Cricetulus griseus: one gene and its partners. The protein of the gene in region 4 binds, or shares a complex with, the protein of the main gene of each other region. Links are inferred from orthologs where the notes say so. Each region holds a gene or a part of one and is shown on either strand. Other genes may lie near its edges.

Region 1 (4,244 bases), on a different chromosome or scaffold from region 4:
CAAACAATTAACTGTGCATCTGGCGATTCCTTTTTACAAGGCAGAGTACGTGTGTGTGTGTGTGTGTGTGTGTGTGTGTGTGTGTGTGTGTCCCTTTGGGTTGTCCCCTCTGATCTTTCTCCCCTTCCCCATCTCTCTGCACAGAACCGGTATCTCTTGACCCCAATCAGACTGTTCCCAAAATGCCATCTCTGAGGCTCCTTTATTTCAATCCTTTTGCCCTTTACAACTGTGTCCAAAGCCCAGCTAGTTCTACTTTGCAGCTTGAAGCTAGTCAAACCCCAAGCTGAGCCTCTCCTACTGACAAGGGATCTGCTCCTCATATTAGAAGTCACATTGTGTCCTCACAAGTGGGTGACAAGCAGAGAGAGGCACAAAGGCATGCATTTGCAGACACCACAGCAAACTGGCACATGCTGTTCTTCATAAACGCACAGAGACAACCACCAGGCAGAATGGGCAGAGGGAGAGGCCTGGGTGTGAGGCAAAGGGAGAGGGCATGAGGTCATAGGTAACTGGAGAACTTAGAGGAGAAGTGGCGTCTAGATCTCAAGCCCCAAACACACTTTTAATTCTCTAATTACCTCCTTTTCTAGAGAAGGAAACTAGAAAGCAGTGGTAGGTGGTGTGGTGGCAAGGAGGAAGCTGAGGGGCCAGGATCTTATGAGTCACCAAAGGCCATCTTGAACATGTCATTCTTGCTGAGACAGTATCAGACTGCCCTGTGCTTCTCACACTCGGTGCTGGAGGCACGTTTATAGCTTGATTGTGCACTGGACCTCTTTCCCACCCCTCCCACTTCCCTTCTCCCTTCCCCCTCCCTGAATTACCACGCTGGATATCAAACCAAGTGCTGGGTAATGGCTCTACTAAGGAAGCAACTTCTCAGGTAAAGTAATTCCTGCTTTACAAATGAAAACAAACAAACAAACTAGTGTACAAAGAGATTAACTCACTCTGAAGTCAAACAAATCCCGTGCCACATTACAAGTTGCTATAGTGCATTCTGAACTACACAGGTCCCCACGATTTCCAAAGTTCAACTCCCGACACTCTTCAATCGAGGTTAGCTAAATAGGTGGATGGATGGATAGAGCTTCCAATAATGTGTCCATGAAAGGTGAAGAAGGCTGTACTGGGGAGAGGGGACAGGGATTATTTTAGTTTTCCGGTTAAAGAACTCTCAGACTGCCCAAGAGTCTGAGGCCTCTGCCTTGGTGACCACATCCCTGCCCACGGTGCTCAGGCCAGTGTTGCCAGGCACTTCCTCGTTCCGGGGCGCCCTGGACGCCGCTCCTACGCCCAGTGCCTGGGCAACTCAGGCAGGAGGGGGCCAGAGGGGAGGTGTCGTAACCGCCTCCCCTCCCTCTCTCCCCGCCTTGGCACTCAGCTACCTCGCAGATGAGCGCTCTCGCAGACTGCAGCGGGCGGCCGGGCGCCCGGCATGTCCCTTGAGTGTGTGCAGAGGACGGGCACTGGCCCCTCGTGCACCCTGGAACGAGACAATCGCACCCATTTCCCTTTCTTCTCGGATGTCAAGGGCGACCACCGGCTAGTGCTGAGCGTTGTGGAGACCATCGTGCTGGGGCTCATCTTTGTGGTGTCACTGCTGGGCAACGCGTGTGCCCTGGTGCTCGTGGTGCGCCGTCGGCGCCGCGGGGTGACAGTCAGCCTGGTGCTCAACCTCTTCTGCGCGGACTTGCTCTTCACCAGCGCCATCCCTCTAGTGCTCATCGTACGCTGGACCGAGGCCTGGGTGCTGGGCCCCATCGTCTGCCACCTGCTCTTCTACGTGATGACCATGAGCGGCAGCGTCACGATCCTCACGCTGGCGGCGGTCAGCCTGGAGCGCATGGTGTGCATCGTACGCCTGCAGCGCGGCTTGAGCGGCCCGGGGCGGCGGGCGCAGGCAGCGCTGCTGGCTTTCATCTGGGGTTACTCAGCGCTCGCCGCACTACCCCTCTGCATCTTGTTCCGCGTGGTTCCGCAGCGCCTTCCCGGAGGAGATCAGGTGAGCCCTGGCTGCGTGCAACGCATCAGGTGTCCCGGGCGGCTGGGATAGGGTGGGGGTGGGGGGATCGGACCGAAGTGGTGAGCTAGGATGATGGTGATTAGTAACAGTAATGGGTCGTTTGTGGAACTGAATCCTTTCTGGCAGACTTGCTGAAGTTTAATTTCATCAGTTTCCGTCTAGTGCCAAGTGGGTAAGTAAATCCTCCCGAATGCTGTTAAAGGGACTCTCCGGGACTTTTGCAAAATGAAGCGACTATTATAAGGCAAATTAAGCAACGTGAGCTTACGCCCAGATGGGACAGCAGGGTCTAAGGTGGCTCCTTGTGGAGTTGCTACTTTCTTTTCAGATGCCACGCTACTGTTACTATCACATGTATTTTACAGAAGCTGGGGCACTCACCGTCTGTCTCCCTTAGACCTGGGCTAGTACTTAAAAGTGCTGTCCCAAAGAGAAGGCTTATAGTGGGGAAGGGTTCCTGCTGCAGAGTTAAACTTACTCTGACCAGAAACATTGGCTGTGTGACCCCACCGGAACCCTTGAAACCCTGTTCTTAGAAGTTTGTTTCTTGTGTGGAGAACTGTGGAGGGAGATGTTTGTTTGACAATGACTTTGAATGGCTAATGAGCAGGAACTCATCAGGTCTGTGGCACTTCCTTAAAGAACATGCAAGCCTGTGACCAAGTCTCCCAGGGTGGGTACAGGAGATAGGGTTAGTTGAGTTGATGATACTGCTGGCCTGGAAGAGACATAGGTTCTCTATCTCACCCCGGGGTTGTTCTCAGCCCAGATAGGCTTGGGCATCAGGGCAGACTACACATAGATGCTTCTGGAATAAGTGAACACTCAGGCCTAACTCCACATCAAAGGGTCAGGTAGGTCACAGGCATGTCCAACCTGTATCCAACAGACCACATGTCAATATTATGTAGATAGCTATGAAGATGACTGGACACAGATGACAATGCCGTGCCACAGTCTCAAAATGTTGGACACCCCAATAAGAGCAAGGCTCTGCCGTCAGTTATCTGTTTAAGCTGTTTGTTCACTGAATTACAACAACATTGCTTTATTTTTCATAGAATTTAAAGGATTTCTTGTTCTTAACACAGAAAGATTTCAGTTTCAAGAATTAAGACCAAATAAGATATCTCAAATTTTCAGATGCACTGTCCCTTTTAAAATTCATCCAGGTGCAATCCTATTTAGCTGGCAAATAACACGAAGAAGAAAGAGGAGGAGGAGAAGGTCTCATCTCCTCCCAGCCAAACCCCAGGCTGAAACTGTGCACTACTGTGGTCACTGGGGCTGGAGCCATGAGGTCCTTGCTTGTGTTGTTCAGTGTGTATTCATCCTGCTGGGAGGGAATGTGTGTGACCGAGACACCTACAGCACTTCCAGAATATTACTGCAGGTTCTTCTGTGGAGATCATGGTTAGAAACCTCTTGTTTTAGTGAAAAAGCACCTGTTGGATTTCAAGGGTCTTTGGAGGGGCATTTGGGCAAAGCCACTAGAGTAGAATGAGCTGCTGTTGTTTTAGGGGCTAGGTGACAGGAGGCTAGTTATTGAAAGTAGTAGGGTTGGCATGGGGAAACTTGTAATGAAAAAAAAGAAAAAATGGGACAGTGTTCTGGCTCCCTGTCTTTCTTGTCATCTCCTCTTCCTGACTGTCTCTCTCCCTCTTCCCATCTCTCTCTCTCTCTCTCTCTCTCTCTCTCTCTCTCTCTCTCTCTGAATTATACTCTTTCTCTTCCTCTCTCCCTCCCTCCCTCTCTCTCCCTCCTTTCCTCTCTCACTCTCATTTTTTCTCTTTTCTTTTTTTCCTCTTTTTTCCCTCATTTTATTTTGGAAACACTGTCTCTGTTGTATATCTCTAACTGCCCTGGAACTTTCTAAGTAGACCAGGTAGGCCTTGAATGGGCAGAGATCCTCCTGCCTTTGCCTCAGGGTGCTGGGATTCAAAGCATGGGCCATCATGCCCAGTTAACTATCCCCTCTCTTATAGAATGGAGCTGTCCCCACTTCTTTGAGGCTTTATTTCCCACCATTTTAGCTACTGTGGCTTCAGTTACCCATTGACAACTGAGATCAGAAAATATTAGGTGGAAATTCCAGAAAAATAATCCTAAATTTTAAATAACTTTTATTTCAGTCTATGGTTATAATTTGTTGATTTCTGGCTAATCTCTTACTGTGTCATACTCATAACTTAAAATTTAGCCTAAGGGTGTA
Region 2 (4,231 bases), on a different chromosome or scaffold from region 4:
AGTCAGGCCAACTAAGTTGGGTTCCAGTTCAGGAATTCTGCAGCACCTAAGCATATTGACTTTGCTGATCAGTCCACAGAGATGATTCCAAATGTGTTCTTCTTAGCTCTGTTTTCCCTCCACAGCTCAGGCTATAAGCACATAGTGGCACAAGGTCCTGCCATCAAGCAAGAGATTGTAGACATTGGGACCACTTATGATTTTATCTCTGGAGACAATGAGCATAGTGGGCATGCCCTCACTTCAGACCTAGGAGGGCTCTAAGCAGAATGCATGCTGAGGACAGAGAGTGGCAGTCAAGAGCCCTACAGTGCAGAGAGGAGCCGTCTTGAAGAACACAGGCTGCTCCAACTCACTATGCTCTCCAGGGTCTTTGAGGTGCAAAGAGCTGTCTCACTAAACACAGCTGAGAAGATCATCTCTGAATCAATGAATAAATGCAATTTATTCATTGATTTTTTAAAAAGAAAAATCTAAAATACACACCAATCTCAAGTGTTATTTTGGCCATTTGTGGTTCCTCGAGTTGGCCCAATTCCTTGGACATATAGCCAGTTCAGAACCTGGCACTCAAGTTCTAGAGTCATTAACTAGATGACACTTACTTACTGCCTGACAGAAAACAGCAACTCCAGGTCTCTTATCTGTAGCTATTTAGGGCCTGGAATAAATGTGCAAGTATTAACATTGACTCAAAAGATGTTTGCAGCTAGACTACTTGGTGAGAAGCCAACTATTTCTGGATGAAAAAATAGTCAAATTTTCACCCATTCATTAGTTCCTAGACTTTGTCTTCTGTGGGACTTTTGTAGACTCTTTATTGACAGCCTGTTTAGTCCTAAAAGTTTACTTTTTCATTTCCACAAAGATGGAAATGGTTTTCCCCCTAGGGACTTGGGGCAGGGGATGAAGAGAGCCTGTGTTTCCTTTTCAAAGTAGCAGTTAGGAATTTAAAAGAGCAATATTTTAAGTACAGCTCTAGTTCCCAGCCCCTGTCCTCCAGAGGCCAATTAATTGTCATCTCCTGAAACCCCTTCTTTTACCAGACTCACCATCTGGTCAGTTGTTGCATCCCTCTGAAAGTCCTCTTATTAATAAGATAGAGATGGCAATTCCCACCCAGAGGCTCGAAGACCAAGCTCATGGGTGTGTGTGCATGCCCCACAACTCACTGTGCATAGAAGTCTTTGCCTTGCATTTGAAAAGACCAAAGGAATAAATTGGCTACTTCCTGACAGCTAGGCTGTACAAGCATCTTGGGAGCCAGTGTATTCATTTAAGTAATATGGCCATTCAAAAGACATACTGATCACATAGACGTGGGGAAGATGGATTCTTTTAAATGTATTTTTCTGGTGGAGATGTACCTTATAGTGGGATGTAAGAAACCATTGCTTTTCTAGATAGGAAGTTGTTTATGGTCCTACTGCCCACAGTCCAAAAGATTGGGAGTCAATGAAGGATAAAGTTGCATGGAAACTTTAGAATTTGCCTTGCAGGGATTCCCCCCTTCCCCGCTAGTTCTCATAGTACCCTAAAAAGAGATATGACATTGAGGTTATCTCAAGAACCTCATCAAGTGGCCACTAAAAATACACTCTGGATGATTAATGGTGCATCAGGTGGTGATTGAGAAGTCTAAGACTTTTGATTAATGTAAATGCCCATTTCTCTGCAATTCCTTAGGAGTTGTGAGCCACAGGTTCTTCCAAAATCATGACGACAAGATAGATAATCATATAGCTCCCCTCGCTGTGTGTTCTTGCTGCCCCTTTCCAGACCAAGCTCACCACCTGGATCCCCAACGCTGTCCACAAAACCTTGCTGGGAAACAGCAGCTGCCCTTCCACCCATGGTGTGTCCCAGCAGATCTGGGACACACACCTGCCTCTGTGCTTTGTGAGGCCACCTGAGGCAGAGCTGCAGTGCCCTTGAAGAAAAGCAGAATGAAAGTCTCTCTAGACAGGAATGCGAACTCTCCCCAGTACCTCTCAAACTCTAAGTTAACTTTCTTGTGTCACAAATCATTATAGAGCAAGCTGAGACAAAATGGAATGGAGAGGTAGAAGGAGCAGAGGAGCAGGATGCTAGAGGCTTGGTCGGGGGGACAGTGCTCCCCACTCACCTTGGCATAGCAAAAGCAGATGAGCAGTAAGGGCAGGAGATAGCCAAAGACGAAAGTGCACACCACATAAGCCTTCTTGTGGAGCTGGTTGGGCCAAAGCTCCCAGCAGAAGGTTTGGTTGTTGTCCCGATAGTAGAGACGCTGGTGGTAGGCCACTGGTGAGGCCATGGCGATAGACAGTGCCCAGATGAAGCCCACGCCCAGCAGCGCATTGCGGGACACCCTGAGGGAGGAGGAGCGCCGCGAGTGCACGATGGCCACGTAGCGGTCCACAGACATCGCGGCCAAGGTGAAAATGCTCACGAGCATGGATACAGTGAAGAAGTAGTGTGTGAACTTGCAGATGAAGGCGCCCAGCACCCAAGTGGGCAGTGCGTACACGGTGGCCTGGAAGGGAATGCAAAAGAGCAGATAGGCCAGGTCTGCGATGCTGAGGTTGAGGATGAACAGGTTGGTGGTGCTGCGCGGCTTGCCAGGTTTGCTGCGCGCCAGGACAGTGATCACCAGGCTGTTCCCCAGCACGCCCATCGCGAATATCAGGCCGAACACCACCAGCGTGATGAAGTTCTCCACGCCGATGCCAAACAGCAGCCTGGACTCCACAGCCGCGGGAGGCTCTGGATCACTCCCGTTCCCCTCGTTCCCCTCGCTGAGATTCAAGGTAGCCAGTTCCATCACTTACTGGCACACCCCTTGGGTGTCTATGCAACGGAAAGCGCTGGGAAGGAGTGCCAGGCAGGGAAGGCGGGCTCTGGGGATAGCTGAGAATCTCCGGGTGTCTCGGCACAGTGCAGTGAGAGCGTGTATCTCCAGCCAGAACCCCCAGCAACCTGAAAAGAGAGCAGGGGGCAGCGCCCCGGGCCGCGCCTGGTCAAACTGTCCTTGGTGCCTGGCCTGGCTACAGAGGGGGCGGTGCTGCAAGTACCTAGTTGAACCTTCCCATGCGGGGGCGGTGGACTCCACAACACAAGAGGTACTGGTCCTCTGTGTGACTCCTCCGATTGCGAGCTGGGCTGATAGGACTCGACCACGCGATCAGCCTGGTCTTTTGCGCCTTACCGGTTCTAATCCTTTTCTGGCCGTGTCCCCTTGCTCCCGCAGTGCCGTGGGGTCGCACCTGTTGCTCTGAGCCTCTTTATCCAAGCGAGCTGTCAGGGCACTGTGCTGCACACCTTGGATAGTGCAGAGTCGCTGAGCTTCCCACACTAAGCGCTGCGCTGCGCTGCGGCTCCCTCCTGCTTTCTCCCTGGTCTTCTGCAGGGCAAACCTCTCTCTGGGGTTCCCAGTGGCGGGCAGAGTTTCTTCTGCACGGGGGGGGGGGGGGCGGGCGGGGGCGGCGAGCAGTAAGAACTCAACTGCGTCTCCCCTGTGCCTCCGGAGTCCCTCCTGAAAAAGCACAGCTTGTTCTCTGAGCCTGGGCGCCCTCACCCAGATGGGTGGCAGCCCACCTCCTTGTTGGAGAGCTGCTCTGGTCCCTCGAAGGAGACTTCTTCGCACTGGCAGCCAAGCTGAGTAAGCTCCTGTGCGCGACTGGCTGAGGCGACAGGCTGTGCAGCCCTTCTGCCAACCGTACCCTGGTCTTTCCCGCTCCCAGCAAGAGCAGAAATAAACCTCACAAAAAAATCAAAAGGTTGGTCCTGCTACCGGAGGTGCTGTCACATTCGCTGCCTCTTTCCCTCCCTCATCCAGTCACAAGCTGAGCAGGGAAGAGGCAGGGGTGAATGGAGTTTTCATTAGGAGCGTGTCCTGCGCACACCGTACACCTCGGAGATCAGTCATTTCCACCACACATTACTCATCTGCGTGACACGAACGAACGGAAGCCTTGACAAGTGGTGTGTTTGTAAAGAGGTGTGGGACTTCCACCACCGCTGAAACCAGGGCAAACCAACTAGAAACAGCTGCCTATCTGGTAGTAGACACGGAAAGAAAACCCTGCCATTGCATGTACACGGTGTAGGAAGGGCTTAACTACGTCGCTTTCAAATAAGCCAGGGTCCTCCAGTGTGTGCGTAACCACAACTGTTGGACACAAGGCCGGAGGAAGAGTAAACACAGGCAGGGTCCTGGAAAAGCTCTGTGCCCAGGACATTGGCTCCTAGCACA
Region 3 (2,922 bases), on a different chromosome or scaffold from region 4:
TAGTGGGTGGTCTCACTTTGATTAGAATTTTATTAACTCATTTGTTAGCAGAGATTTAGGCATAAATGCATACATCAGCAAGCAATATATGCTGTTGAAGTACCAAACATGTTTTCTGACATTTCAACACAATCCCCAAATTGCTTTATTTTTCAACATATTTAAAATTAGTATCAAGTGCCTAATTTTAGTAACTCTTTAGTGACTTGAAAAACAATGTCACTTCATTCATTTTGTTTTTAAATCCAGGAATTTCACTTAATGTTATAACTGATGTTAAACGTGTTAACAATAAGTTCTGAGAAGATTCTACATATAGTTCTAAAAATGTAAGGGATAATGTAAGCTTTTCTTTGCCTTGAACTATTTTACAGTTAAGCAAGTGAAAGATCACTTCTGAAGATCTGGGTTTTGGATATGCTGGGGCTTTGTTCCATAATTTTACCAATCTCAAGGAAGGAAGAAGCCGGCTGGTATCATTTTATTTTAGCACATTTGCCTCAGTTACCCTTAGTATTGTACTGCATTTTGGCTGCCACAGATAGATCATGCAGGGAATACCCTGGCTTAAATTCTGAAGTACTTTCACTTCTGCTTGCTTCACTTTGAAATCTTCTAAAAAGAAGTTGGCACATGATTTTGCGAATATTACTGGACATCAGGAAATACATGACTGGATCTAAGCAGCTGTTGAAAGCGGAAAGAACCAACATGATCTCATTGGTTTTGTGAACGATTCTCTTCCAGTAGCAAGAAGGCTCATTTAGCTGTGAAGAAATGTAGATGAATCGAAAGGCATGATAAGGCACAAAACATATAGTAAAAATGATCAGTACGATAAAGGAGTTCCGAGCTGTTGTAGCATATTTGCCAGAATTAGGAAATTTTGACCTCCTTTTAGAAATCCTTAGTAGATTCTTGCCAATCTTAATATATGAGAGGATTATCAGTAGGAAAATAAGCCAGAACATTACCACAAGAACATAGTTAAAAATTGCTTCTCCCTTTGCATTATGCCTGTCTCTGTAATGGAAACACAATGTGGAATTGTGCCCTCCCTTCTTCAGTGTCAAAATGATCATAGTTAAAAACCCAGCAAGAGCAACTGCCCATACTATACAGCAAACATAAATACTTTGCCTGGTGGTTATTGCCCTCCTTTGTTGTATAGACCGATTAATTTTTACATAGCGATCCAAACTGATAAACCCAAGCAAAATAATACTGATGTACATGTTCATGTAAAATAGCGTCCCCACAACCTTGCAAAGAATCACACCTAGTGTCCACTTATTTTGGTTGATGTGATACATTATGCGGAAAGGGAGGCAGAAGATGAGTAGAAGGTCTGCAATGGCCACATTAAGTAGATAAATTTGAATGGAATTTCTTTTGCGGTGGATGCCCAGAAATACATAGAGGGCAATGATGTTCCCAACCAGTCCCACGATGAAAATAACAGAGTAGAAGGTTGTTAACACTGTAGATAGTAGTTTTTCATCCATTGGACAGCTAGTATCATTTGGCACTGTGGAGAAATTTTGTGAGGATTCGTCACTGTGATTCGTTATAAAGTGCATTCCATAGGAGGAGCAAGGCCAGCTGTTAACTGAAGTAGTCGTCATTGTTACAGTGTGACTTCTCAGTGTCTTCTGTAGCCCTCAGAACAGAGTATTTAATGACATGCTCTTTGTGTGTACTTCTTTATTTCTTCATGTTTTCCTACAATAGAATGGCAAATATTGAGTCCTTTGCTGTGTTAATAACAGCTGCTTTAACACAAAACATAAATAAGGATTTCATTTTGGACCTTATTTGGGACCATTTGGCTATCTACACAATGTGTGTAGTAGCATTATTGCATCACAAGACAGCAAAAAATACAGTAGGATCCCTAACCTTTTCTGTTGCTATGGCATGTGTACAGAGTTCATTTCATTTTTATATTAAAATAAATAATTGAACCATATGAGCATCATTTCTTAGCATTGTTATTATGGGAATAGAGATAGTAAAAAGAAACAGCAGCTCATTTTTTCAAGGATGCATATAAATGTACCCTAAAGTTGCTTGTTGTCATGGGTGAGCTGAGTTCCCTGCTGACCCTGCCCAGCTTTTCAGAAATGCTTCCTGGCCTTCCCCTTCCCTTATAGTTGGCATCCATTCATTTTGACACACATTGCCACATGGTATTACTGGATAAGCTGTAGTGATCTCTGTTTCCACAGAGACAATAGAAAAGAGGATCCCAAATTTCTTCCTTCACCTAAGACCAAGATAGGAGTATTAAAATTACTTATCTATAGGAATGTAAACTTATCAAAACAGACCATGGCTGGGACCTACCTCCTTTCACAGACTCGTGTAGCACTTCACAGGAGAATTCAGTGGTCATACAGTACCAGATCAGATAGCAGCCAACAAACCACTCCCACCCTTGAAGCCTGGGGCAGTAATATAGATGGGAAACAACACATGGAGTCCAAGATTATGACTCCATGTGGTTAACTAACTACATTTTAATTATGCTCTGGATTATATCATTTGAGATTGTCACCAGAAACTTCTAAGTATGTCAATTCTACTTGGTCCCAGAGCTACTTGTTATTGGACAATTCTCATGCATTTGACTGTTGGGGCCTATTATATATGTAAGGATAATTCAAGCAGGTCTCCTCATATTCCTTTATTATAGTAACGGCCCTGTTTTTCTGTAAAACCCTTTCATGGGTGTAACATAAAAACTTTATAGCAGAGGGCAGATGAGATAGGGTAAAGGTATGTTCTGCCAAGCCTAATTACCTGAATCTGATCTCCAAGATCTACATGGTAGAAGGAGAAAACTGACTCCACAAGTTGTTCTCTGACCTCCAGATGTGTGCAGTGGCACATTCATGTCACACAATACATACATACATACAT
Region 4 (3,500 bases):
TTTGTTTCCTTGCTGTGTAGCACTGGCTGACCTAGTACTCAAGGTGTAGTCCACATTGCTCTCATTGCAGCAGGCCTCTTGCCTCAGCTTCCCAAGTAGTAGACTGAAATATCCAATCTGGTGAGCAAAATAAACCTTTTGTCTTTTTAAGCTAATTATCTCTGGTATTTTATTATGGTAATAGCAGATGAGCATAGGGGTAGAGAGGATCTAAATCTTATGGTCTGGGTATAAAAGGGCTGCAAATGTCCACATGATAAATGTTTGGTCCCCAGCTAATGGCCTATTGAGAGATGTCTGGATGGGAGTGGGTGGTAGGCCATAGCATCATAGTGAATTAAAATGCTGAAAAATCCAGAGGTGACCAGGCAATTAGAATAGGGGCCTGGCTGGTGGAATCAGGTCACTGGGAATGTCTTCAAAGGGAATATTTTGTCCTTGGCCCCTCCCTGTCTCTCTCTCTCTACCTACCATGGTGTGACCCACTGCTGCAACACCCTCCCTGCCATGTTGTTTTAGCCTTGTCTCAAGACCTCAGCAATGGAAACAGCCAACCATGGACTATGACACTGTGAGCCCAAATCAAGTTGTCCCCACTTGAGTGGGTTTGTACAGGCATTTTGTAGGATTGACAAAAAGTTCCTAAGACTTTAATACACTGTTATATAGAAACTTCGGTCATTCTTAACAGTCCAGATAAGTCAGTAGAAACAGCAGCAGGTGAAAAGTACTTACTTCCAAGGCTCCCAACTCATGCCTGTCCTTTGCACTTTGTATGTCAAGCGTTCCCAGTAGCTGTCTGGCCTCAGTTACATAACTACAGGACTATCCCATGAGATACTCCTCAGACCTGCTCCAGCAAACTCATTGACTTACTTACCGCCCGAGCAGAGTCTCCAAAGTCTATCTTCAACCTCCCCATGGCCCTGATGATGGCGATGATGGACTGGATGGTGTTACTGTAGACCACTGCCTTGTACTGTTTACACTCTTCTTCTGAGTAACCAGCCTCATGGATGATTCTAAAGAGAGGAGAGGAAAAGAAGCACACTTCCTTTATAGCCGTCACTCAGAGCCAGGAAGACATACTGCCCTGTCTCCAGCTACTCACTTCATTTGCTTCACAATTGTACTTTTCCCAGATTCACCAGCACCTAGAAAACAAAAGAAGGATTTTCTCATTCAGCATCAGCACTTAAGAATCTCCAGCTCCCAGCACACACATACACACACACACACACACACACACACACACACACACACAGGTGTGCTCACACCCTATATATCACTCACACTGAATCTGGTATTGCATTAAAACAAGATACAGAGCAGCAACTACGGAGGATAGAGAAGCAAAGACATAGAGCACAACATGCATATCACAGTCAGTAGGAAGTGGTCTCAGAATCATCCTGCTCCCTCTCCACCTCCTCCTTCCCATTCTTTCTTGTGGGGCTGGGGACCAAACCCTGGGCCTCACATATTCAAGGCAAGTAAATGCTCTGGCACTGATCAGTACCCAGCCCTGTACTCAGGATCTTGCTAAGTAAGTAGTTTTATCATAGGAAGAAAAATGGGTAATTGTGTGAAATGACAAATGTTATTTTTTTTTCATTATGGTAACCACTTCACTGTATGTAGATCTCTTAACAGTACATTGCACATCTTAAAACATAATAAAACAATAAAATTTAAAATGAACTTTGTTTCCGAACATAAGAATTCTCAGATTGAAGTCTATTTTTCCATTACTTCATAATAATTTCAATGCCAATAAACTCAGTTAAAAATAAAAAAAAGTGTTCTGTTATTGTATATTCCCTAAAGCTTTAAAAAGAAATCCAGTCCTTGGCTTGGCATGGTATATCCAAGCTATAACCCCAGCATTTTTGAGGCTGAGGCAGATTTAAAGTGACCCCTAGCTACCTAGTGAGTTTCAAGGTAGCCACCAAGACTGTATCTCACAAAACCAAAAAAACATAGACATAAAAACAAATCACCTCTGATTGAAAACTGAAGTATTATAAATTGTTTCAATCATGGTTTTGTTCCACATTTCAACTGTTGGGAAAATATCTTAATAGTAACTTTCAGCTCCTTTGAAGTAGAAGGACAGTGTTATGAAGAAGCCAGTTGGGAGATTGCAGTGATGGCTCAGTGGTTAGAAGCACTTGGTGCTCCTACAGAGGAAGCAGGTTTTGTTCCCAGTACCCACACTGGACAGTTCACAACCACTTATAATTCCAGTTCCAGGGGATTCAACTTTCTCTTCTCATCTCTGAAGGCACAAGGTATGTATGTGGTACATATTCATACATGCAGGCAAAAGATTCATACATGTAAAATAAAAATAAATATAAAAACAAACAATCCAGAGAGCTGTGGAGATAGTTCAGCAGTTAAGAGCACTCCCAGGTTGGATTCAGAGCACACACATGGCAGATCACAACCATCCTCATACCAGTGCCAGGATATTTGATGCCCTTTTCTGATATCCACAGGTGCCAAGCATATGCATGGTAAACACACATCCAGGAAGAACATTTATACACACAAAATAAGTAAATCTACAATGAGGAGGAAGTGAGGAAGGGGATAATGGATGAGGGGATAGAGGAGGAGGAAGGGGAGAGAGGACAAGAGAGAGAGGAGGAATAGAGGGAGGAGCAAAAGGTTTCCTTAAGAGCTAAACCCAGGCTTTATGCCATATAACTATACCATAACTACTACCAAAGAAACAGGGTCCCCTTTCACTCTCATTCCATTTAGCAGTAGATGCTCTTACTGTGTCACCTTAGACCAACCAAGTTTTTCTGTGTGTTGAGAACATGTGAGCACAGGACATGGCAATGTCTGACAATTTCACACATTTGTGGCCTTTTTTTATTTTTTTAGCATGGCCACATGTTCCGGACTTAGTTCCTGTTTGAGAAAGACTTAGTTCCTGGCTAGTGTATTTCGAGAGCCTCCTTCTCCTGTTTTCCTAGAGATGTTCCCATGCTTTGTGCACAGCAAGCATTACTTAAGAATATAAACACAAGAATGCCCAGGACTGATCATATCGAAATCCTTCAAACACTATCTCCCCTGCTCCACCCCCCAACAAGGTAGTTCTACTTTCTTTTGCCATCTGTGATCTTCTATCAACCACCACATTTATCTCCTCTGCCAGTCCCTCCCAGAGTTCCACACGTAATACTTGCTGCCTTCCTTTGTCTGATTCTACTGGGATTCTCAGCACCTGTCATCACACAGTGAGCCAACCAGAAGGCAGACAAGCTGGTACATTGATTTAAGATTTTAGAACTCATTGATGCTAAACTTCAGTATTGCCTTTGTCTTTCCCTCTTGCAGCCACAGAAATAGAAACACACACACACACACACACACACACACACACACACACACACACACACACACACAGGACATCTGAAAATGAGTTGTAGTTAAATGGCCTATTTGAAACATCTCAGGAGAAAACTGCCTAAAGTTTACTAGGT
Region 5 (3,264 bases), on a different chromosome or scaffold from region 4:
TATGACGTTTCTAGATGGCGCTCTGAAGCACTTGCCGGAAGGTGGCGGCATAAGCAAGCCCTTCTAGCGTAGAGCTGTCCCAGGTGCTGAACCCAATTTCAGAGAGCTGCAGAGCGGGTAGCGATAGGGTCTTCAGAAAGTTCTCGGAAGATTTGCAGACTGGTGAAGGAGACAAAAGTCCAAAGTCCATAGGAAATGCAAGTCCTTGTTTACAATGCATCTATGTATTGTAAGCCATTTCTTTCCACAAATTTACTTGCTACAAAGCAATAGGAGGTGTTAATGACATTGAAATGAAGAGAGAAGTGATGAAAAGTGTGTGTGTTTAGAATACACACCTACTTGGAGTTTTTAATCTTTTCTTTGCGACCCAGCTGTTTATCAGCTCTTGTCCTTTAGCGTGTCCTTTATAATTTTTCCCCATTCCACAAGGAAACTAGGAAAAGGTCATAGGCACCAGCACTCCAAGATAGACTAAGATGTCAAATGAGACTGCGTTTTTAAGAAGCTAAGACCCACACTCTCAACCTAATAATTCAGAGGGTGACCCGGGGCTGCCCAAATTTCCAGGCTTCAGGCTTTCTGTATCTGTCCCCATTTTCTATAAGCACACCGTGAACCTGGCTCTACTTGAGAAGTTGACAGAAATAAAGGGAATGGATGGTAGGGAAAGATTTTTGTCTCCCTCTAGTTTCCTGGGCAGGAGGCGGAGTTTCATCTGCTAAAACATTGGTTTGACTAGCGGATCGGAGTGGGCATGTGAAGTGAGTTCTGAGTGTGTCGACTCGAATGTAAAGACGCCTGTCTAGAAGGATAGGAGGAGGGCGGGGACCTAGAGGAAGGAGACACACTCTTGGCTGGGGAAGTATTGGGTGGTGGTGGGGGTTAGCGTGGGAGGAAGGGAGATTAGCTGTCTGAGCAACATATATAGGGATAAAGAAAGAGGGGTGAGAAGGAAAGGAGAACTGAAAGGAAGGCCAATAGGAGGAAGCCGAGAGAAGGAGGCTGAAAAAAGAAAAACCGAGACTAGAGAAGTCCGGAGGGAGAGGGAGAGAAGGAACTAGGAGACCAGGGTCACAGAATGACCCCAGAGCTTGGGGTTTCTGAGATTCTAGACTGATTGCTAGTCGGCAGAGTCGGGCTCCCGCAGCTAGTTGGGCAGCGACAAAGTGAAATGGACAGCGTGAGACAGATGTTCCAGCCACCTCTCCACCACTCAGAGATTTGGAAGCTGCTCTGGGGCTAACTACAGTTTCCTAGCTGGAGCCTCTGAGCGCTCGGGACCCGCGGGAGCCAAGCAAGAGAGCGCGCCGGGAAGCTGCCCCTCTCAGATGCCTTCGCTAGAGCAGTAAGAACTTCCCGCTCCAGTCCCTGGATCCCCTCCCTCTGAAATTCCCCAGAAAAGGAGGAAGACCCTAGGGGGAGGGGCGAGGGAGATCCCCCTTGCAGCTCTTTCCCCCTCCCTTCCCCCACCCCACCGGGCGTGCAGGCAGACATGGATATATTCAGTCTTGGCCAGGGCAACAACACCACATCTTCCCAGGAGCCCTTCGGGACAGGCGGCAACGTTACTGGCATCTCCGACGTGACCTTCAGCTACCAAGTGATCACCTCTTTGCTTCTGGGCACTCTCATTTTCTGCGCGGTGCTCGGCAATGCCTGCGTGGTGGCTGCCATCGCCCTGGAGCGCTCCCTCCAGAATGTGGCCAACTATCTTATCGGTTCCTTGGCGGTCACCGACCTCATGGTGTCAGTGCTGGTGCTGCCTATGGCTGCTCTGTACCAGGTGCTCAACAAGTGGACTCTGGGCCAGGTCACCTGCGACCTGTTTATCGCCCTGGATGTGCTGTGCTGCACCTCATCCATCCTGCACCTGTGCGCCATCGCGCTAGACAGGTACTGGGCGATCACTGACCCTATAGACTACGTGAACAAGAGGACGCCCCGGCGCGCCGCTGCGCTGATCTCGCTCACTTGGCTCATTGGCTTTCTCATCTCCATCCCGCCCATGCTGGGCTGGCGCACCCCGGAAGACCGCTCGGACCCCGATGCATGCACCATCAGCAAGGACCACGGCTACACCATCTACTCCACTTTCGGCGCTTTCTATATCCCTCTGCTGCTCATGCTGGTTCTCTATGGGCGCATCTTCCGAGCCGCGCGCTTTCGGATCCGCAAGACTGTCAAGAAGGTAGAAAAGAAGGGAGCAAGCACCAGCCTCAGTACATCGTCGGCCCCGCCCCCCAAGAAGAGCCTGAACGGACAGCCAGGTAATGGGGACTGGAGGCGCAGCGCTGAGAACAGGGCTGTGGGGGCTCCGTGCGCAAATGGCGCGGTTAGGCAGGGTGATGACGAAGCCACCCTGGAGGTGATCGAGGTGCACCGAGTGGGTAACTCCAAAGACCACCTGCCGCTGCCCAGCGAGTCGGGAGCAACCTCCTATGCCCCCGCCTGCCTGGAGAGAAAAAATGAGCGGAATGCTGAGGCAAAGCGCAAGATGGCCCTGGCCCGTGAGAGGAAGACAGTGAAGACTCTGGGCATCATCATGGGCACTTTCATCCTCTGCTGGCTGCCCTTTTTCATTGTGGCTCTGGTGTTGCCCTTCTGTGAGAGCAGCTGCCACATGCCTGCATTGTTGGGTGCCATAATCAACTGGCTGGGCTACTCCAACTCCCTTCTCAACCCAGTTATTTATGCTTATTTCAACAAGGACTTTCAAAATGCATTTAAGAAGATCATCAAGTGCAAGTTCTGCCGCCGATGATGATGGTGAAGAGGAGGATGGTGTTGGTGGAGAAGGAAGGAGAAGGGGAGGACTGTAGGGGTTACAGGATCCTCCCCGTTCACTCAGTGTCTCAGCCCTGGAAGCAACACCTGAGATAACTTGCTTTTCCTTATGACATGCAGCTTCTTGGCCCATGCTTTCCGATCTTGCTCTCTTTCTATTCCATTTCAAGGAGACAGTGCTCTTTGCAGAAACCTTAGAAGCCTCCTAGAGTCTGCAAAAAAGTTATTGGCTAAGTCTTTGGCCCTAGGATCAGTTTTGATAGTTGCAATAACCTCCTCCCTCTTCGAAATTAAACCTCGGTGGTTCAAGGCAGAAAATCCAAACAGAAAATATAAGCTGCATGGACGTCTGCCAGGAGAACTGCCACCTCTCTGCCCTACTTCTGGAACTTTGAGATTCAAGACTTTGCTCTGTCTTTAGAAACATCTACTCCCCTTTGGGTGTCAACCTTCTCCACTGAGTCTGGCTCCTATGTA
Region 6 (4,292 bases), on a different chromosome or scaffold from region 4:
AGGTGTGGTGGTGCACACCCAAGCATCTGGGAGTGTGAGTCCAGCCTCATCTACACACAGAGTTCTAGGACAGCCAGGGCTATATAGTGAGACTCTTTCAGAAGGGAGTGGGGGGGGACAGAAGCTAACTCTCCATTGAGAGGGGATGAAACTTCCCACTGGGACAGTGCATGACTGTTAAAAGGGCTGTGACACCCTTGACACACGTGGGTATTCTGTATCCCCCGTATTGAGTGTTTACTTGTGTGGCAAATCAAAAGTGCTTAGCAGGATGACTGGCATGCAGTAATCGCTCAGTAATTGCCTATTTCACAATATTAAAACCTATTTATTCAAAAGAAGTAAAAAGTCAGGTGGCGGTGGCGCACGCCTTTAATCCCAGCACTCGGGAGGCAGAGGCAGGTGGATCTCTGTGAGTTCGAGTCCAGCCTAGACTGGACTCGAACAGACTGGTCTCTAGAGCGAGTGCCAGGATAGGCTCCAAAGCTACAGAGAAACCCTGTCTGGAAAAACAAAAGAAGGAGAAGGAGGAGAAGAAGGAAGAGGAGGAGGAGGAGAAGGAGAAGGAGAAGAAAGGAAATTATGTATAGGAACAAGGCTTGGTAGTGGTACATGCCTGTAACCCCAGTCCCCAGTACTGGGGAGGCCAAGGAAGACAATTCACGTGATTAAGACCATCTTGAGCTAGTGACATCCTGTCTTAAAAGATCAAGGACTGAAATGTAAGTCAGTGGTAGAGCTCCTGCCTAGAATCCCCCAGTGAGGAGCTGGGGGTGTGGCTCAGTGGTAGAGCCCCTGCCTAGAATCCCCCAGTGAGGGGTTTGGGGGTTTGGCTCAGTGGTAGAGCCCCTGCCTAGAATCCCCCAGTAAGGGGTTGGGGGCGTGGCTTAGTCATAGAGCACAGGCCTAACACGGCAGCCCAAATCGGGGACTCAACAGGCCAGGGTTCAATAGAGTGACTTGGTGCTCCAGAACATTGTGTAAAAAGGAAAAAGAACAGTCGATTATAGCCCTCCCTGTTCTGCAAACCCCAATTGGTCAGGGCAGGGCCAGAGGATGACATGGGACCAGGGATGAAGAAAGCTTGCAACTTCCCTGGTCATCGAGTTTTCCATTTCCTCTTTTGTGTGGAGGAAGCAAGGTCATATCCTCTGTTACAGAGGTGCCAAATCGCAACTCTCCTAGCACCATGTCCTAACCTCAGGGCCCGGGCATAAAAAAAGTACCCTTGGGGCTGGAGAGATGGCTCAGCAATGAAGAGCACTGACAGATCTTCCAGAGGACCTGGGTTTAATTCCCAGCACCCACATGGCGGCTCACAACTGTCTGGAACTCCAGTTTCAGGGGACCCGACACCTTCCCACCAATGCACACAAAATAAAGTTAAATAAAGCAAAAAAAAAAAAAAAAAAAAAAAAAAAACAAAAAAACACAACCAGCCGACAGACCACAACCCCAGAGAACCTAGTTGACAAAGACGACCCTAAGAGAGACCTACATGGATCTGCCTAGGAAAAGGAAAAAGACAAGATCTCCTGAGTAAATTGGGAGTGGGGGAAAAACATATAGCTCAACTAAATAAATAAATCAAATAAATTTTAAAAAGGGACCCGCTTAGAGGGACACAGACTCCAGGCTGCAGTTCCCCATCTAACTTCTCCAGTAATGACCCAGTAATGACCATCCTTCCAAACTGCTGCCAAGACTTGGCTTTTGTTTTGTTTTGTTTTGTTTTGTTTTTGAGACAGGGTGTCATTCTGTAGCACTGGCTGCCCTGAAACTCACTCTGTAGACCAGGCTATCCTCGAAGTCAGAAATCCACCTGCCCCTGCCTCCCGAGAGCTGGAATAGCAGGCGTGCACCACCACGCTGGGTAGTTTGTAAAATTATGTTTTTGTTGTTGCTTTTCTGAGACAGGGGTCTCACTTAGCCCAGGCTAACCTGAAAATCACTATGTAAGATTCAACATCCAACTCCTCTGCTCCTACCGCCCACGGGAGTGCAGGGATCACACGTACCACCACACCCTGTTTTACTGAGTACTGGTAATTAGACCCGGGGCTTGCAGCACTCCCCCCCCCCCCCCGAGCACACCTGAGCTGTATCTCCAATCCATTTGTCTTTTAACACCATAGCTCACAGTGTAACTCAGGCTGGCCTGAAACTCACTATGTAGCCCACGCTGGCCTGGAACTGCAGGCAGCACCCTGCCCCAGCCTCTTGAGGGTTTAGATTCCAGGTGTAAGCTGCCACGCCCAACTGCTAGAACTCTTCATTTAGGAGAGCCAATGCCAGGGTTTTCTGACCTGAAGAACCTTCTCAGTTGTGCAGCCCTGTGAGACTGCTGTGGTTTCCGTAACTCCTCCTGGTCCCCGACCACATCCCATCCCCAGTGTATGAACTCCGTGTGCAGGTGGGAGAGAGCAGATGAAGACAGCTTGAAGGAGGAAAGGGCAGACAGAGGCCGACGGGGAGAATGAGGGGGGGAGGAACCCACTCACCATGTCCTGGCTCCACCTGGGCTCTGTGGCGACCAACAACGGATGCCTGAAGGTCCCTCCTGTCGACGGAGTGGTGCTTTTTAAAGAAGAGATGCAAGCAGCTGGGAGGAAGTGACTGTCTTGTCCCTCTGAGGTGCTCATTGGTCACACACTGACCATTCGAGTTGGGGCTCCCTCCACTGGTGCTCTCCCAGAAAACCCTCAGCACCTCCCAGTGCTACCCAAGCCAAGGAAAAAAGGCAGGCTTGGAAAAATAAGGAAGTCTCTGGCCCCGGAAGGGAAAAAGGCAATTTCCAGGGCCTCTTCTCCATTGTGGTAGATGTAGCTGTCTTACTATACAGGCTTTGGTTCCCTCATCTGAAGGGGACTCTGCTTCAATAGAAGGAAGTCTCAGGGTTCCTGGGGTTTCCAGAGAATAAGGATGGTAACCACAGCCCCAGACTCCCAAACAGATGGCCTTTTTTTTGGAGGAGGGGTTGTTTGTTTGTTTAAAGATTTATTTACTTATTTATAAGTGCTCTCTCTGAATACACACCTTTATGCCAGGTGAGGGCATCAGATCCCACTAGAGATGGTTAGAGGGTTGTGAGCCACCATGTGGGTGCTGGGATTTGAACTCAGGTCCTTTTAGAAGAGCAGTCAGTGCTCTCTAACTGCTAAGCCGTCTCTCCAGAGATAAAGCACACTCGGGGTTGTAGAGCTAGCCCAGGTCTTAAGGTTCTCTCCCATGGGAGGTGGGTGTGTGTGATAACACACCCCTGTAATCCTAGCACTCAGGAGAAGGCTGCTGCAGGAGAGTCACCCTGCACTGCAGAGTGAGACCTTGTCTCAAATAATAAAAACAAGCCGGGCAGTGGTGGCGCACGCCTTCAGTCCCAGCACTCAGGAGGCAGAGGCAGGCGGATCTCTGTGAGTTCGAGACCAGCCTGGTCTACAAGATTTAGTTCCAGGACATTCTCCAAAGCTACACAGAGAAACCCTATCTTGAAAAAGAAAGAAAGAAAGAAAGAAAGAAAGAAAGAAAGAAAGAAAGAAAGAAAGAAAGGAAGGAAGGAAGGAAGGAAGGAAGGAAGGAAGGAAGGAAGGAAGGAAAGAAATCAAATAATAAAAACAAGCACAAACGACAGAATCATAGCTCGGTTTGTAAAACTCCTGCCTGGCATGCTCAAAGCCCTGGGTTCCATTTCCAGCATAAAATCTGATTAAGTGGTGCATCCAATCCCAGGACACAGGAGTGTGAGTTAGTTTTCTCTCATCCACAGCCACCAGTGCCCGGGAAAACCTGTCCCCTGTGGAAGGTGCACGAGCCGAGCAGGTGGTTGCGGCCCCCATTTCTCCAAGAAGAGCAGCTGAACTGTCAGTGGATCCCTGAAGCTGAAAGGCCACCATAGTGTGGCAATTATCATTACTAACCCCAACCTGCTGCCAGGCTGAGTGCAGCTCCAGGCTGCCGCCACGCTGGCTCCTGAGGCAGGAGGTGGTGAATCCATCACGACAGGGCTGAGACACAAGGGGCCTTCCCACACTGGTCTGGTGGGCTTGTGAGAGATTCTACTGTCTGCTCTACCAAAAAAGCAGGAGGCTGGAGAGATGGCTCAGAGGTTAAGAGCACCGACTGCTCTTCCAACAGGTCCTGAGTTCAATTCCCGGCAACCACATGGTGGCTCACAGTCATCTACAATTTAATCTGGTGCCCTCTTCTGGTGTGCAGATATACATGGAAGCAGAATGTTGTATACATAATAAGTAAATAAAATATTTTTTAAAAATTAGCTAACTACATGAAAGTAC
Region 7 (2,873 bases), on a different chromosome or scaffold from region 4:
AACAATATCTTATTCATTCTTGCATTGTCTAAATATTTAGTTTAGATGGTAGCACATATTGCATTCAATTATGGGGTAAATATTTAAAAGCTAGTTTGTGTATTAGCAGTTGTTGCCAGAATATAGAACTATTTTCAGTTTAGAGGGATTTTATGGTCTAGACTTCATTGTGACTATACTTATTTGAGGATGTAACTATTCTTATCCTGAAGACATTTTCTCCAGAAGCTGAAAAGAAGCACAGAACCAGACATCACCAAAGTAAAAAAAAAAAAAAAACAAAAAACAAAACAAACAAAAACAAACAAACAAAAAACAAACAAAAGAGATCAGGTTTGGCAATCCTATGTGCCAGCAACCCCATTGTCCAATTCGTACATGCTGAGAGTTTGAGCCCACCCAATGTCTGCAAATCCTTCTATTTAGGATCTTCTGACCAATCACTGATAAGCAATCTATGTCTAAGTGAGAGAATGAATGATGAACGGAGTCCAGGAAGTATTGCTTTGGATGGCCCAGCTGGAAGCCACTTTCCCACAGCTGTCATGTCGTTCCTCCACACCCCTGCAATAGTTGCTGGCATCTCCACTGTTGTGTCTTCTGAAGTGTTCCTTCCTGATCTACTTCTCCTTGCCTTTCTCCAGCATCCCTAGTCACCTCTGGGTACCCATCCTCTCCTCTCAGTAGAAGGAGGGGCCCTCATATGTAAAGGCACCTGGGGAGTAGGAGGATGGGACGGGGGTGAGTGTCTTCTGGCAGACCTGCTGAAGGAGACTTTTTAGGTGTCTGCGGAACTTGACCCCAACAAAGACATAAAGCACTGGGTTGAAGCAGCAGTGAGAGAAAGCCAACATTCGGAAGATGATCATAGCCATGTCCAGCCGTTGCCTGATCTCACAGGTCCTCTGGATGATATCAGTTTCCTGCAGTGTCTTGAGGAAGAGGATGAGGTTGTAGGGAGCCCAGCTGAGGAAGTATGCCACCACGATGGTGAAGATGAGCCTGACTGTCCGGTGCCTCTGTCTGGACTTTGAACGAAACAAGGTCCTGAGAATCTGTTTGTAACAGAACAGGATGATCCCCATGGAGAGGAGAAAGAAAATGTTGTGCTGGTAGACTGAGGCCAAGAACCCACGAAGTTCAGAATAGTCACATGTTGAGACATTCACCTTGTGGAAAATAGCATCAGGGATAGAGGAAAGGATGCTGGCTGTCCAGACAGATGTGATCACCAGCACACGACAGCGGAGGGTATGGATGCCCAGAGTAGAGATGGGGTTCACTACAGACAGGTAGCGGTGGATGGTCATAATGGTGAGAAAGAAGATGCTGCTGTAGAGGCTGATGGAGAAGATCAGGTTGAGGAGTTTGCAGAGGAAATCACCCAGCAACCAACCCCAGTATTGCGCTAAGACCCATACAGGCAGCAGGCAGGAGAAAATAAGGTCTGAGAGACACAGGTTGAGGATGAAGACATTGGTGAGTGACTCTAGATTCTCATACTTCACCAAGACCCAGAAAACCAGGCTGTTACCCATCAGGCTGAGGAATAATACCAGAGAGTAGAGGACAGCAGTGAAGTTGGCAAAGGTGGTCTCGCTCTCACATAGATGACTCTGTAGATCATAGTAATAATCATAGGACTCCATTTTGTCCCAGGAGGCAGTGGTGCTGAGAGCATCTGAAATGATAGACATGTGGGGTTTAAATCCATATGGTAGGAGGAGATTATTAGGACCCATGTTACAAAAAAGTAAGGTTCATGGGCCAGATTCCATTGGTGAGCTATTTATAACAAGATTGAGAATTGGGCCATTATATAAAGTCAGTAAGGAACATTTTTTTCTTTTCCATAGAAAGATTTTCTTGATCAAGGACATGCAACATTGATTTATATTCTGTCACAAGCCCCATTCTTCTGGTAGACTGGCAACTGAGAAGTCTTGATAGCTCAAGTTCACAGTAGATGTAGGTGAAAAGAGAAGTGCAATTGGACTGAAAGACTTGAAACCAAAGTGGGTTCTGCTATTGTGTCCATGTATCATTTTTAAAAAAACTTTCTGAGCCTTAGTTTCTTGTATACAAAAGGGCTCATGTTACCAGATTAATTCATTCTATTGTTCAATATATGGATACAGAGCATTTATTCAATGTCATTATTCAATAAATGGCTAGAGAGTGTTGTGCCTGTCTTTCCTCTCTTTCTCCCTCCCCTCCTTTTTTTTCTCCTTTCACTTTCTCCATTCTCTCTCATTTTCTGTTCATAAACTGAATAGACCTTGATAAAACGCTTGTGTTGAAAAATTTTCTCTTTCTTGGGAAATGCCAAGGAAGTGAGAGCACAGACAAAGCAAAATAATGCCCAAGCTACAGATAAAGATTCTGGAAGGACGAATCCTTGCTAACACTAAGGATCACATCTCAAGGCAGAAAACGTCTTCAGCTGAGAGTTTAGTTTACAAGTCTTATAAACACGTGTCTAGAGCAGACAAGGGGGAAAGAAGCTCAGAAAACTATAGTGAGCCAAACTTATTCAACTGCCTTTGGTAACTATTAGAAACAGTGAGATGAAAAGGCTGAAGAAATGACTGGAAGGGCTGGAATTTTCATCTGGATGAGTCATGGAAGCTGCTGAGTCACATGAGGAGGAGAGTAGAAAGCTAGAAGCAGCAGCTATCTGAATCAGATAAGTGAGTTCTCATCACCTGCTGTGTGGGGGGTACTGTGCTTATGATACTTTCTATAAGAAAGTTGCAAGATCACAGGGAATATATATACATACATACATACATACATACATACATACATACATACACGCATACGCATACGCATACACATATACATATACATATACATCCATTTCATAGGATAGG

The links.
Region 1: the proteins of Gnai1 (region 4) and Ffar4 are in contact, whole or in part, in a cryo-EM structure (PDB 8ID3), measured with the Homo sapiens proteins. The link is inferred for Cricetulus griseus from reciprocal best matches to the Homo sapiens genes GNAI1 and FFAR4. Residues at the interface, in NP_002060.4 of Homo sapiens: Ala31, Arg32, Val34, Leu194, Gln304, Glu308, Lys314, Asp315, Glu318, Ile319, Tyr320, Thr321, His322, Phe334, Asp337, Ala338, Thr340, Asp341, Ile343, Ile344, Lys345, Asn347, Leu348, Asp350, Cys351, Gly352, Leu353, Phe354; in NP_001182684.1 of Homo sapiens: Arg71, Ala73, Thr74, Arg136, Cys139, Ile140, Leu143, Gln144, Arg145, Gly146, Ile230, Ile233, Thr234, Ser237, Arg238, Arg240, Leu241, Ser244, Leu245, Ala246, Tyr247, Ser248, His251, Arg254, Gln258, Arg261, Leu262, Leu266, Leu269, Met323.
Region 2: the proteins of Gnai1 (region 4) and Galr1 are in contact, whole or in part, in a cryo-EM structure (PDB 7WQ3), measured with the Homo sapiens proteins. The link is inferred for Cricetulus griseus from reciprocal best matches to the Homo sapiens genes GNAI1 and GALR1. Residues at the interface, in NP_002060.4 of Homo sapiens: Lys192, Leu194, Lys314, Asp315, Thr316, Lys317, Glu318, Tyr320, Phe336, Thr340, Asp341, Ile343, Ile344, Lys345, Asn347, Leu348, Lys349, Asp350, Cys351, Gly352, Leu353, Phe354; in NP_001471.2 of Homo sapiens: Thr70, Arg133, Ala136, Ile137, Ser140, Arg141, Ser143, Val223, Leu227, Lys230, Leu231, Asn233, Ser235, Lys236, Lys237, Ser238, Ser241, Lys244, Thr245, Thr248, Leu306, Ser307, Glu308, Asn309.
Region 3: the proteins of Gnai1 (region 4) and Gpr34 are in contact, whole or in part, in a cryo-EM structure (PDB 8XBE), measured with the Homo sapiens proteins. The link is inferred for Cricetulus griseus from reciprocal best matches to the Homo sapiens genes GNAI1 and GPR34. Residues at the interface, in NP_002060.4 of Homo sapiens: Glu28, Ala31, Arg32, Val34, Leu194, Asp315, Glu318, Ile319, Tyr320, Asp337, Ala338, Asp341, Ile343, Ile344, Lys345, Asn347, Leu348, Lys349, Asp350, Cys351, Gly352, Leu353, Phe354; in NP_001091048.1 of Homo sapiens: Asn87, Ile89, Arg152, Lys155, Ile156, Ser159, Ile160, Gln161, Gln162, Lys164, Ile166, Leu245, Ser253, Lys254, Pro256, Asn257, Lys260, Tyr261, Thr264, Asn267, Ser268, Val271, Met330, Ser331, Ser332, Arg335, Lys336.
Region 5: the proteins of Gnai1 (region 4) and Htr1a are in contact, whole or in part, in a cryo-EM structure (PDB 8PKM), measured with the Homo sapiens proteins. The link is inferred for Cricetulus griseus from reciprocal best matches to the Homo sapiens genes GNAI1 and HTR1A. Residues at the interface, in NP_002060.4 of Homo sapiens: Arg32, Lys192, Asp193, Leu194, Lys314, Asp315, Glu318, Phe336, Thr340, Asp341, Ile343, Ile344, Lys345, Asn347, Leu348, Asp350, Cys351, Gly352, Leu353, Phe354; in NP_000515.2 of Homo sapiens: Arg134, Ala137, Ile138, Pro141, Ile142, Tyr144, Val145, Asn146, Ile218, Ala222, Arg225, Ile226, Lys228, Thr229, Met335, Arg339, Lys342, Thr343, Thr346, Leu347, Asn404.
Region 6: the proteins of Gnai1 (region 4) and C5a anaphylatoxin chemotactic receptor 1-like are in contact, whole or in part, in a cryo-EM structure (PDB 8HK5), measured with the Homo sapiens proteins. The link is inferred for Cricetulus griseus from reciprocal best matches to the Homo sapiens genes GNAI1 and C5AR1. Residues at the interface, in NP_002060.4 of Homo sapiens: Arg24, Ala31, Arg32, Glu33, Val34, Lys192, Asp193, Leu194, His195, Lys314, Glu318, Tyr320, Phe336, Thr340, Asp341, Ile343, Ile344, Lys345, Asn347, Leu348, Lys349, Asp350, Cys351, Gly352, Leu353, Phe354; in NP_001727.2 of Homo sapiens: Asn71, Arg134, Leu137, Val138, Pro141, Ile142, Cys144, Gln145, Asn146, Phe147, Arg148, Ala150, Thr229, Arg232, Arg233, Ala234, Thr235, Arg236, Ser237, Lys239, Thr240, Val243, Val244, Ala303, Gln305.
Region 7: the proteins of Gnai1 (region 4) and Xcr1 are in contact, whole or in part, in a cryo-EM structure (PDB 9AST), measured with the Homo sapiens proteins. The link is inferred for Cricetulus griseus from reciprocal best matches to the Homo sapiens genes GNAI1 and XCR1. Residues at the interface, in NP_002060.4 of Homo sapiens: Glu28, Ala31, Arg32, Leu194, Asp315, Phe336, Thr340, Asp341, Ile343, Ile344, Lys345, Asn347, Leu348, Lys349, Asp350, Cys351, Gly352, Leu353, Phe354; in NP_001019815.1 of Homo sapiens: Glu63, Thr66, Arg127, Ser130, Val131, Pro134, Leu135, Leu138, Val140, Arg146, Tyr205, Leu212, Ser215, Ser217, Lys218, Arg219, Arg222, Thr223, Leu226, Ile227, Val290, Gly291, Val292, Lys293, Phe294.

The regions. Positions count from the first base shown.
Region 1 is NC_048596.1:23,682,747-23,686,990, reverse strand, and holds the start of Ffar4 (free fatty acid receptor 4), read left to right. Parts: upstream 1-1,444; coding exon 1,445-2,011; intron 2,012-4,244.
Region 2 is NC_048595.1:233,140,610-233,144,840, reverse strand, and holds the start of Galr1 (galanin receptor type 1), read right to left. Parts: upstream 2,801-4,231; coding exon 2,126-2,800; intron 1-2,125. UniProt on the Homo sapiens protein: Receptor for the hormone galanin. The activity of this receptor is mediated by G proteins that inhibit adenylate cyclase activity.
Region 3 is NC_048604.1:119,203,975-119,206,896, reverse strand, and holds Gpr34 (probable G-protein coupled receptor 34), read right to left. Parts: upstream 1,712-2,922; 5' UTR 1,626-1,711; coding exon 501-1,625; downstream 1-500.
Region 4 is NW_023276806.1:175,922,431-175,925,930, reverse strand, and holds part of Gnai1 (guanine nucleotide-binding protein G(i) subunit alpha-1), read right to left. Parts: intron 1,155-3,500; coding exon 1,112-1,154; intron 1,023-1,111; coding exon 881-1,022; intron 1-880. UniProt on the Homo sapiens protein: Guanine nucleotide-binding proteins (G proteins) function as transducers downstream of G protein-coupled receptors (GPCRs) in numerous signaling cascades.
Region 5 is NC_048595.1:323,737,568-323,740,831, forward strand, and holds Htr1a (5-hydroxytryptamine receptor 1A), read left to right. Parts: upstream 1-1,495; coding exon 1,496-2,764; downstream 2,765-3,264. UniProt on the Homo sapiens protein: G-protein coupled receptor for 5-hydroxytryptamine (serotonin). Also functions as a receptor for various drugs and psychoactive substances.
Region 6 is NC_048602.1:10,938,766-10,943,057, forward strand, and holds the start of C5a anaphylatoxin chemotactic receptor 1-like, read right to left. Parts: upstream 2,801-4,292; 5' UTR 2,643-2,800; coding exon 2,502-2,642; intron 1-2,501.
Region 7 is NC_048597.1:230,777,829-230,780,701, forward strand, and holds Xcr1 (chemokine XC receptor 1), read right to left. Parts: upstream 1,698-2,873; coding exon 681-1,697; 3' UTR 501-680; downstream 1-500. UniProt on the Homo sapiens protein: Receptor for chemokines SCYC1 and SCYC2. Subsequently transduces a signal by increasing the intracellular calcium ions level. Receptor for XCL1/Lymphotactin.